Linked DNA regions of Ovis aries. The protein of the gene in region 3 purifies or fractionates together with the protein of the main gene of each other region. This does not show direct contact. Links are inferred from orthologs where the notes say so. Each region holds a gene or a part of one and is shown on either strand. Other genes may lie near its edges.

Evidence for each region.
Region 1: the proteins of ZNHIT2 (region 3) and ECD purify together in Homo sapiens (affinity purification with mass spectrometry; 3 studies listed by BioGRID and IntAct, counting the BioPlex papers as one, with this or other methods). This does not show direct contact. The link is inferred for Ovis aries from reciprocal best matches to the Homo sapiens genes ZNHIT2 and ECD.
Region 2: the proteins of ZNHIT2 (region 3) and TSSC4 purify together in Homo sapiens (affinity purification with mass spectrometry; 3 studies listed by BioGRID and IntAct, counting the BioPlex papers as one, with this or other methods). This does not show direct contact. The link is inferred for Ovis aries from reciprocal best matches to the Homo sapiens genes ZNHIT2 and TSSC4.

Annotation. Positions count from the first base shown.
Region 1 is NC_056078.1:28,426,976-28,430,619, reverse strand, and holds part of ECD (protein ecdysoneless homolog), read left to right. Parts: intron 1-994; coding exon 995-1,101; intron 1,102-1,245; coding exon 1,246-1,429; intron 1,430-1,435; exon of another isoform or gene 1,436-3,644. UniProt on the Homo sapiens protein: Regulator of p53/TP53 stability and function. Inhibits MDM2-mediated degradation of p53/TP53 possibly by cooperating in part with TXNIP. May be involved transcriptional regulation. In vitro has intrinsic transactivation activity enhanced by EP300.
Region 2 is NC_056074.1:45,569,343-45,573,754, forward strand, and holds the start of TSSC4 (U5 small nuclear ribonucleoprotein TSSC4), read right to left. Parts: upstream 2,803-4,412; 5' UTR 2,038-2,802; intron 499-2,037; 5' UTR 383-498; intron 238-382; 5' UTR 216-237; coding exon 1-215. UniProt on the Homo sapiens protein: Protein associated with the U5 snRNP, during its maturation and its post-splicing recycling and which is required for spliceosomal tri-snRNP complex assembly in the nucleus.
Region 3 is NC_056074.1:39,772,937-39,776,333, reverse strand, and holds ZNHIT2 (zinc finger HIT domain-containing protein 2), read left to right. Parts: upstream 1-1,515; 5' UTR 1,516-1,534; coding exon 1,535-2,734; 3' UTR 2,735-2,768; downstream 2,769-3,397. Other genes in the region: delta(14)-sterol reductase TM7SF2, read right to left, coding at 3,170-3,330. UniProt on the Homo sapiens protein: May act as a bridging factor mediating the interaction between the R2TP/Prefoldin-like (R2TP/PFDL) complex and U5 small nuclear ribonucleoprotein (U5 snRNP).

The DNA.
Region 1 (3,644 bases), on a different chromosome or scaffold from region 3:
TTACATCTGCTGCATTGGCAGACAAGCTCTTTACCACTAGTGCCACCTGGGACCCCATGTAGATCTCTGTCTCTGTGAATTTATCTGTCTGTCCGTTCATCCATCTACACCACACCTTTATCCAGTTATCTATTTGTAGACACTTAGATTGTTTCCAGTCTTAGCTACTGTGAATAACACTACAGTGAACATGGGGATGCAGACATCTCTTTGAGATTTTGTTTTCATTTCCTTTGGATAAATACCCAGAAGTGGGATTGCTAAGTCATATGGTAGCTCTATTTTTAATTTTTGAGAAACCTCCATACTGTATTCCATAGTGGTTGTACCAACTTGCATTCCCACCAACAGTGCATGAGGGTTCCCTTTTCTCCGCATTCTTGCCAATGCTTTTCTTTTTAATGATAGACATTCCGACAGGTGTGAGGTGATATCTCACTGTGATTTTTATTTGCATTTCCTTGATGATTAGTTGCTGTTGAGTACCTTTTCTTGGCATTTCTGTATCTTCTTTGGAAAAATGTCTATTCATTCTCTCTGCCCATTTTTGAATCAGAACTTGGGGTTTTTTTCATATATATGGTTAGTGAATATTTTCTCCCGTTCTTTAGGTTGTCTTTTCATTTGTTGATGGTTTCTTTTTTTGCAAAGCAGTTTCTCTCTTCTTTACTTTTTGAACTTTTTGTTGGTTTGGCTGTGCTGTGAGGCTTGCAGGATCCTCTTTCTCTAATCAGGAATTGAACCAGGGGTCATGGCAGTGAAAGCACCAAGCCCTAACCACTGGACCACCAGGAACTCCTCAAAGCAGTTTTTCTTTGAGCTCTTTTTTATATTTTGAGTTCCTGGTGAAATTTTGAGAGGAAGGATTCAGTATCCTGAACAAATGTTTAAAAACAAATTAGACTAGATAATCCTTTCCAACTTTAAAATACTCTGTTTTTGTGGTTATTATTCTAAGTTCTCATTAAATACCCATATCTTTGATTTTTTATAGCTCTCATGCTATGAGCCCAGGTGAAGAAATCTTAACGTTATTGCAGACAGTACAACTTGATATAGAAGAGCTTAAGAAAGAAGAAGCTTATCTTCCCCCAGAAGATGGTAAGTGATGGGCCAGGATAGAGCACGGAGTTAGAAAGAATTAAAACATCCCACTAAGTCTCAGAGGGTACTTTACTGAGAGTATACCTGTTTCATACCTGTTTCATGTGAGTATAGTATGGCAGTGTCACACTTCTTTTTCAGATGAACGGTGGTTAGATCTCTCACCAGATCAGCTGGACCAGCTGCTGCAGGAAGCTGCTGGCAAAAAAGAGCCAGAGCCCACTTCCAAGGGGCGGGAGGAGAACTATGACTTAACCCAAGTCTCAGAGAGCATGAAAGCTTTCATATCCAAAGTTTCAACCCACAAAGGAGCAGAGCTGCCTCGGTAATTTCTGTTAAAGTATAATTATCTAAATAGTTAAAGGATCTATGTTGGCATCATCCAATCATTGCCAGTTCTATGGTTTTGTTTTGGTTTTTTTTATTTTTTATTTTTAGTAAATGATTTTCAATGCTTTGTTTTCCTCTTTTGGTACCTAGTGCTATGATAACTTACTTATCTGGAGTCAAATTTCTGATAACCTGATTATGATCCTTGAAGTGAGCCAGAGAGATCACTCAGATCTAAAGGCCACTGCCCCAGAGCTGTGCAGGGCAACCATATACTTTACTATTTAGGCTTTTACTCAGAATATTATGGACTTTTAACATCTAGCTCTTATCAAGATCAGACATCTGATCTTGTACCCTCAAGTAGATTGGAAGCTTCAAACTTGAAAGAGGAGGATAAGTGCCGCTGGGTACCTTGAACACGTTGTCTTCTGCTCATGGCACAGGAACACCTGGAGTTCTTCCTTTTGGAGATAAAGTCTTTCCTTTCACTTTTTGGAGGTTAGTTCACCAGTAGTCAGGAAACTTATGAAAAGTCTCCTTTTTGGATTCTTAGCATTCCATCTGAAGGTATTGCCAGAAGCTTGATTTTTCTGTGTGTGCCAAGTCTATATTTGAACTATGGGGTCATGGAAAGTGTCCGGAGGAGCTGTACAGTTCTCTTAAAAGCTACCCTGTTGAGAAGGTGGTTCCATTTCTGCATTCAGAGTCTATGTATAAAATAAAGATTCACACATTTAATAAAACCTTGACACAAGAAGAAAAAGTCAGATGAATAGATGCATTTGAATTTCTGTCATTTGAAGGGAAAGTGAATTTTAAAAAGCCACAACATACATTCTCTATTTTGGAAGATTATGGTTTGGACCCAAACCACATCCCTGAGAATCCACATAATATTTATTTTGGTAGATGGGTTGCAGATGAACACAGAGAGCTTATTGAGTCATACAGTGTCAAAAAGAGACACTTTATTTGAAATACAAGCATGGATGCTGGTTTATCATTCATCATGGCCAACCATGGAAAAATGAAAAAAGATGATACTGTATTTGATCCATTTGTTGGAACAGGTGGCCTTTTGATAGCTTCTGCTCATTTTGGTGCATACGTATATGGAACAGACATAGACTACAATACTGTTCATGGCTTAGGAAAGGCTAGTAGGAAAAACTGGAAATGGAGAGGACCGGATGAAAACATCTTCATCAGTTTGGTTTAGGGCAAATCTTCATCAGTATGGTTTAGAGAAGTATTACCTTGATATCGTGGTTTCAGATGCATCAAAACCCTCCTGGTTGAAGGGCACTTATTTTGATGCAGTCATCACTGATCCTTCATATGGTATTAGAGAATCTACAAGAAGGACAAGTTCACAGAAGGAAATACCAGAGGGAATAGAAAATGTCCAGAAAGCCACGTTCCTGTTTCCTTGAGTTATCTGTGTGACATGTTTTTTGACCTGTTAAAGTTCTCAGCAGAGACCCTCGTATTAGGTGGAAGACTTGTCTATTGGTTACCAGAATACACCGAGCAGATGGTACCCTGGCACCTCTGCTTGAAACTCATCAGCAACTGTGAGCAGAAGCTTTCCAGTCACATATCAAGGTGCTTGATAACAATGGAAAAGGTGAAGGAATTTGAGAACCGAGGCCAGTATTCACATTTGCTGAGCGATCACTTTCTGCTGTACCAAGGTCATAATTCCTTCCATGAGAAATGTTTTAGTGGGGTAACAAAAAGAATTACCAAGGAAGAAAAATCTAGCAGGAATGAAAAATTAAGATTTTTGACAATGGAGAAAGAATAAAGATTTGATAGAAAAGACATCTGTATGTGAATTTTCATGTGTAATACAGAAAATGTACTGTTTTAAATAACTTTATATAATAAATGCTATAAAAAAGAGGAGGTGAAAGTGTTTATCAGAGGAAGAAATAATAACTGAGAACAAGGCAATGGCACCCCACTCCAGTACTCTTGCCTGGAAAATCCCATGGGCGGAGGAGCCTGGTAGGCTACAGTCCATGTGGTCTCGAAGAGTCGGACACAACTGAGGGACTTCACTTTCACTTTTCACTTTCATGCATTGGAGAAGGAAATGGCAACCCACTCCAGTGTTCTTGCCTGGAGAACCCCAGAGACAGGGGAGCCTGGTGGGCTGCCATCTATGGGGTCGCACAGAGTCGGACACGACTGAAACGACTTAG
Region 2 (4,412 bases), about 5.8 Mb from region 3:
GCCTCTGTGAGGAGGCCTCTGGGGGGCGAGGGGGGCTCATCGGGGCCCGAATCCCCGGACACCTCCCCAGGCAGCCCCCCCAGGGACAGGGCAGCCGCCCCAGCGCCATCAGGCAAACTAAGGTCAGAGTCCGAGTCGCTGAGGGAGCCAGTGTCCGGAGGCAGGGTGTCGGCCTCCGAGTCAGGGAAGTGTCGGCTGTCCCCTGCCTCTGCCATGTGTCCCCAGACCACGCCACACCTGCACCAAAACAGCCCCGGGAGTCCCCGGACACAAGCTCACACCCACCACCCCAGGCAGGATCAGCAGGAAGAGCAGTGTCCCAGGAGGAAGGGCCAGCCCCCATCCCCACCCCCGCCACACCGACCATAAGCCCTCCTCTTACCTCCCCGTCTGATGGGCGCCTGCTGGATGCTGGAGGGCAGGTGGGTTGAATGCTGACGAAGGTTCTTGGTGGCAAAGGCCCCCTGGTACGGCTCTGCTCAGCGGCTCGGTGACTGGCTAAGGGCAGGGAGGGACAGCCAGCCATCAGACCAGATGGCGGACAAATGGAAGTGGTGCCAACATCCCCGGAGTGGGCCTGGGTTTACAAAGCCCCCAAAACAGCCAGGCCCAGGAGCTGGTCCTTTTGACTTGTCACCTCCCTCAGTCCTCGCCAGGCAGGGTTGACTAGAGCCACTAGGGGACCCGCACGGGGTGGTCTGGTAGAGCAGCCGGCCGGGGTGTCAACCCAGGGTCACCAGCAATCCTCGCGCTCCCTCTGTCGGCCACGTGTGGTAGTGGCAGGCAGTACGCTCAGCTCAGTTGCATCCGACTCTTTGTGGCCTTTTGGATTGTAGCCTGCCAGGCTCCTCTGTCCGGAGAAGGCAAGGGCACCACACTCCAGTACTCTTGCCTGGAGAATCCCATGGACGGAGGAGCCTGGTGGGCTGCCGTCTATGGGGTCGCACAGAGTCGGACACGACTGAAGCGACTTAGCAGCAGCAGCAGCAGCAGCAGCAGGCTCCTCCGTCCATGGGATTTTCCAGGCACGAGTACTGGAGTGGGGTGCCCTTGCCTTCTCCGGTAAATAAGGAATGAATGAGTGACATGCAGAGCATGTAATTTTGTGCTAAAGCAGGCATCACCCTCCTCACACTGGCTAGCAGCTGCAGGGGTGAAACATTAAAACAAAATGGAAACTGAGGGTATTCCGGCCATTAACTGAGTAATTTTTCACTTCGGAGAAAGACTGTCACTGTTTCGTTTTGACACAGCGCCAGTGTTTCCACACACTAGCATATTCAATTACTTTCTAATGGATTACAAGGAGTCATGAAGGGTGATCACTCTTTTCAAAAAGTGAAATTACAGAATCGACACTGTATCAGTCACTAGTCTAATCGTGGTAACTGACACGTCCTGTGGTGGTTCCACGTGATAGCTTATTACGTTTTCAGGTCAGTGAGTGCTCAGAGGGACGGAAAACAGCTGACAGTCATGGCGGGAACTGCAGACTGGCTCACTGAACAGCTCGAACTGACTCAGTCAGACTTCACAAACATTTGCTGTGTGGATGAGGAGTACGTTTATTCACTGTGCTAACAACTGCAATAAAGAATTTTAGAGCTTGCTGCGGGATGCTGCCTGGGAGCAGGGCAGGCAGGAAGTACTCCACAAAGCCGGAGGCACCTGCCGGCTCTGTGGGGAGGAGGTGTGCTCCTGAGTGCAGAGATGCCCTGGCAGCTCCAGAAGGGACTGCAGCCAGGTCCTTGACATCTGAGGGTCAGGCTCTCAGGAAGCTGGCTCAGCCTTGCTTGGCAGAGGCCGGCCCCACAGCTCCTGAGGCAACCTCCAGCGACATCTGTGATCCTCCACACACCCTTCACTTTCCCAGTGGAGCACAGAAGTCCTGCCAACACCTGGTTAGCATTCCAGTGTCACCAAGCACCCTGAAACTTGTTTCCAGGCTCAGAGGACAGGCCTCAGCCTCCACCAACTTCCTCTTCCCACCAGGCCTCCCTTGCTTGCCAAGGGTGACTCTGTTGCTCCTGCACCCACCAAAGACCAGGCCAGTTGGACCAGGAGTGGCTCCGAGTGCCCTGCTCCAGGTCAAACGCAGGCGAGATCTCCATTCCTCTGGGCCTTGCATGACTCCCCAAATGCAGGAACAACTCCAGGAAAGGGGACACGAAGTAAACGCCAACGGTGTCTGTTTTAGGGCTGGCAGGACAGGAGTGGGGAGATAATTGGCCCGTCATTCCGTACACTGGAGGCAAAGCTGGAGCTTCGACCAGCCTCCGGCTTCCTAAATTTGCACTCCCGTCCCCTGGACGCCCGTGATCAGTGGGACACTCCGAGGGGAGCCAGGAATCGCGCCCCAAGATCGAGCATGCCAGGTCTGCGTCTCTTGAGTTCTCTGAGAACTTCCTGAGCTCACTGGAGGGCAGAGCCGAGTCCAGGCTGACGGAGGCGCGGTTTTCTCAGGGCCGGGGTCGGGGCTGGCCAGGTCCCAGGGAGCGCTGGCTTCCTTGAGGGTTGTCTCTCTCCCCTAGGAGGCAGAGCCTTGATTTTCTCCACTCCACGCGCCCAGAATCTCGGCGCGTGCCCAGCAGGCGCTCGTTGTCAGCTGCCTGAGTCCTGCGGCCAAGTCGGGCGGGGGCGGGCCAAGGGTGCGGGCCTCACGAGGGTCTCCCTGGTTGGGGCAGCAGACTACGGACAGTGGCCCGCTGAAGCCGGACGGGTCAGCAGCGCGGCCCTCCCACCAAAAACCTACCGGCTCACTTCGGCCTGGCTGCCTCCATCTTGAGCCGCGCTCAGCCTCGTGGGAAACCGAGTCCCCCGCTGGCCGATGGCCGCTTCTCCCGCGCCTGAAGAACTACATCTCCCACAAGGCCCCTGGCTCCCACGCCTGAGGCCTATCGGGAGTGATGACTTTGCGCATGCGCTGCCTTCCCTACAGGAAACCGTGGCGCTCCTTCGCGAAGAGACCGGAATTGACTCAGGAAGGGAGTCTGGGTGAGGAGGCAGGGCTGCGACTCCCAGAATGCTCCAGGGCTAACGGCCAGAGCCTCGTTCCTGGTACTGTAGCCCACTTTGCCGGAAGCTGCGAGAACCGGAAGTGCGTCAACGCATCCCGCGCGGTTCCCAGGCACTTCCGGTGCTGTTCCGGAGCAGCCGTCCCTGCTCTTTCGGGTCCCTGGAACCGGGCCGCGGGGCGTGTCCCGCGGTGTACATTTGTCCCGCCCACTGGACGACTCGGGCAGGCCGCCGCGTGGCAAGCCTCCTGAGGGAGGCGCCCCGGCCTCGCCTGCCGATCGTGACTGGTCATTTCTGCTCCGAAAGTGAAAGTCTCCCAGTCGTGTCCGACTTTGCGACCCTGTGGACTATTCAGTTCAGTCGCTCAGTCGTGTCCGACTCTTTGCGACCCCATGAATCGCAGCACGCCAGGCCTCCCTGTCCATCACCATCTCCCGGAGTGCACTCAGACTCACGTCCATCGAGTCACTGATGCCATCCAGCCATCTCATCCTCGGTCGTCCCCTTCTCCTCCTGCCCCCAATCTCTCCCAGCATCAGAGTCTTTTCCAATGAGTCAACTCTTCGCATGAGGTGGCCAGAGTACTGGAGTTGCAGCTTTAGCATCATTCCTTCCAAAGAAATCCCAGGGCTGATCTCCTTGCAGTCCAAGGGACTCCCAAGAGTCTTCTCCAACACCACAGTTCAAAAGCATCAATTCTTCAGCACTCAGCCTTCCTCACAGTCCAACTCTCACATCCATACATGACCACAGGAAAAACCATAGCCTTGACTAGACGGACCTTAGTCGGCAAGGTAATGTCTCTGCTTTTGAATATGCTATCTAGGTTGGTCATAACTTTTCTTCCAAGGAGTAAGCGTCTTTTAATTTCATGGCTGCAGTCACCATCTGCAGTGATTTTGGAGCCCCAAAAAATAAAGTCTGACACTGTGGACTATACAGTCCATGGAATTCTCCAGACCAGAATACTGGGATGGGTAGCCCTTCCCATCTCCAGGGTATCTTCCCAACCCAGGGATTGAACCCAGGTCTCCTGCATTGCAGGCGGAGTCTTCACCAGCTGAGCCACCGCGGAAGCACTTGCTGAACCTCAGCTCAGAGCCTTGACTCCCCTGGTGGATGGCCAGAGCGAGCCCCCTCGGCCAGGGCCGCACCCAGGAATCCAGGGTTCAGGCCATGCTGCGGCCCAGCCCAGGGACCCAGAGAGGAAACAGGGCCCATTTTAATGTGTCCCAACCTTCGGGCTTAAGACCTCCCTGGTGGCTCAGATGGTAAAGCATCTGCCTACAAAGCGAGAGACTTGGGTTCGATCCCTGGGAAGATCCCCTGGAGAAGGCAATGACACCCCACTCCAGTACCCTTGCCTGGAAAATCCAATGGATGGAAGAGCCTGGTAG
Region 3 (3,397 bases):
TTTCAGCCAGGAAAACTCTGTGGCGGTGTGTAGCAGATCCTGCAGGGTCTTGTCAGATGTGGAGAGAAGTGTGGTTTCAGTCCAAGTACAGGTCAGGGTTTTAAAGTAAGGGCCTGCTGGATTGTGACTTGTGATCTACTTTCTCTAGCTGACTTTTCTGGAGGGCTGGCAAAAGGAAACCAGTTAGGCTGGTGTCATCTAATTGAAGAACAAGTAGCTTAGACCGCCAGGGGTAGTGTGGGTGTGTGTGCACTGTTGCTCAGTCATGTCTGACTGTTTGCAACCCCATGGACTGTAGCCTGCCAGACTCCTCTGTCCATAAGTTTTCCAGGCAAGAGTACTGGAGTGGGTTGCCATTTCCTCCTCCAGGGGATCTTCCTGACCCAGGGACTGAACCCATCTCTTGCATCTCCTGCATTGGCAGGTGGATTCTTTACCACTAGTGACACCTGGGAACCCACTTCCCTGGTGGCTCAGACGGTAAAGCATCTGCCCGCAATGCGGGAGACCCATGTTCAATCCCTGGGTCGGGAAGATCCCCTGGAGAAAGAAATGGCAACCCACTCCAGTACTCTTGCCTGAAAAATTCCAGCGACACCTGGGAAGGGGGGATGCAAAAATGAGCAGACTCTTCAAATCCATCCAGATCTTGGTAGGAAAATAGATGATCCATATTGAGATAAAGACAAGGTATTTTAAAGGTAGAACTGACTAGTTGTGGGACTGAGTATGAGTAAGGTGAGGCACTTTGGTTTCTTTGGAACCAGAGCTTTCAGGAGTGCCATAAATCGAGGCTTCATAGCTTTTGGCACAGTTGGTGAGTCATCACCCCCAATCTACCGCAAACTTAGTTCCATTAGGACAGGTACCCCATCTCATTTGCTCTTCGGTGTATTTTCTTTGGAAGTCGGAGGAGCTCAAAAATTTTAATGTTGCTTCCTCAAGAGGGGAAATGCTCCCAACACACCCTGTCTAGGCTAAGTACCCCTCCCTGGTCTTCCTTTCACTCTCCTTCCATTCTTCCCTGGTAGAATGGCCGCCCCTCCAGCGCAGGGACGCCTAATCTCCCATCGACTTGGCACAGTTAGTGCCTAGAGTAGGTCAGTTCAGTCGGTCAGTCGTGTCCGGCTCTGCAACTCCATGGACAGCAGCACACCAGGCTTCCCTGTCCTTCAAGTTTAGTCAAGATTGGGTTTTGGAAAAAAAAATAAAAGATTGGGTTTTGCCAAAGCGCTTTATGATGCTAAAAGCAACCACTAGGGGGCGGGCTGGTACCGACCGAGCTCCCGGCAGACGCCCTTTTCCTACGCTCCCACCGCTCAGGGCGGGGCTACCTCACGAACGGCCCCTGTGCCGTATCTCGGGTCAAGTGGGGGGCGTAGCTTGAGCTCCGAATGCGGCCGGAAACTGCCGAGAAGGGCTTTGACGAAGCTCTCCGTCGGCCCCGCAAAGAGGCGGAAGTAGCCGAGAAGCGCCGGAAACTTCCGATCTGCGGCGCGTGTGAGTTCTTTGGCTGTGCGCTGCGCCAGTTGTCATGGAGCCGGCCGGGCCGTGTGGCTTCTGCCCCACTGGGGAGGCCCAGCCGGCTCGCTACACTTGCCCTCGCTGTAACGTGCCCTACTGCTCGCTGCGCTGCTACCGGGCGCATGGCAGCTGCGCCGAAGAGTTCTACCGTGACCAGGTGCTGGGAGAACTGCGCGGTCGCAGCGCCTCGCCCAGCCGCCTGGCCACCGCCCTGCGCCGGCTGCGTCAGCAACGTGAGACCGAGGATGAGCCCGGGGACGCAGGCCTCAGGCCTGGCCCGGCGCCCGGCGGCCTCTCAGGACTCTGGGAGCGGCTGGCCCCGGCCGAGAAGGTGGCCTTCGAGCGGCTGCTGAGCCGAGGCGAGGCCGGGCGGCTGTTGCCTCCGTGGCGGCCATGGTGGTGGGGTCGCGGGGCCGGGCCGCGGCTTCTGGAGGAGCTAGGTGATGCCCCAAGCGGCGATGCCGAGGAACTGGAGCCCTCCTCCGCGAGGATGCCGCCGGAACCCGTGAGGGATGAGCCCGCGGCTGTCGAGCCGGTTCTTGGAGACCTCCCCGGGGCCTGCCCTCCCGCCGTGCCCACCCGGATCCCCGCGCTGGCCAGCCTGAGCAGGGGCCGGACGTCGCCGCTTGTGCGCTTCCAGCTGCCCAACGTGCTATTTGCCTACGCGCACACTCTGGCCTTGTATCACGGCGGCGACGAGGCGCTGCTCTCGGACTTCTGTGCCACACTGCTCGGCGTTTCCGGAGCCCTGGGCTCCCAGCAGGTCTTCGCCTCTGCCGAGGAAGCCCTGCAGGCCGCAGCCCATGTGCTGGAAGCAGGCGAGCATCCCCCCGGACCTCTGGGCACACGGGGAGCCATGCGCGAGGCTGCCCGCATTCTGCTGGGTGAGGGCCCGGCCAACCAGAAAAGCTACACGCTGGCAGCGCTGGGGGACCTGGCGCAAACCCTGGGCCGGGCCCGGAAACAAGCGGTGGCCCCCGAAGAAGGAGATCGCCTCTACCGGGCCCGAAAGAAATGCCAGTTCCTTCTGTCTTGGACCAACGAAAATGAGGACGCCCTCACACCCCTGGCTCTAGACTGTGCCACGGCCCACCGAGCTCACACTGTGGCAGCTGAGGAGGTGGCAGCCCTCACGGGGGAGCTGGAGCAGCTTTGGGGAGGCCCCCTGCCACCTGCCCGGAGGACTCTTATTGAGGAGCTCCCCGGCTGAACCCTTTGTCATTAATAAAGCTGTGACCGCTCTGCCCCGTCGCCAGTGCCCATTTCTGAGTGGTGGTTCTTGTGCCACCGTCCCCCAGACTCTTGGGCCCACAAACTGCCTGTCAGCTTCTCCTTGACTGGGGCTGACCCAGCCAGTCTTTAAACAGCCTGGCCCAGAAAGGGAGAGAAGCAGCACCAAGGATTCCAGCTGTTTATCTAAGGAGGAAGAGCAGCACACCCCCCCTACACACCCACTCCATTTTGGAGCACTGGCTTCATTTCCCCCTTGCTCCAGCCACTTATCAGGCCGTTCATCCCAGTGTTTTGGAGCTCTGGGCAGGGTAGGGTACAGGCCCTTGTGTCCCGGGTGCGTCCAGGCTCCTGGTGCCCAGTGTGCTGGCAGCTGGGCAGGCACGTGCCCCAACCTGGGGTGTCTGGAGCTGCTTCAGTAGACGTAGGGCACGATTCGGTAGGGCACACGCTGGCAGTATTCGTGCCAGGCTAGGCCGTACTTCTGCAGACACTGCCGCTCATCCCGGTCCTCACGGTGCACCAGCAGCGCAGTGAAGTAGAGGAAGTAGAAGTAGGGCAACAGGTGGAACACCCCTGTGGGGAAAGGGGTTTTTCTGACCACTCAGCCAGCCTACCGGTTCACAAACCTTTCCGCCGCTAG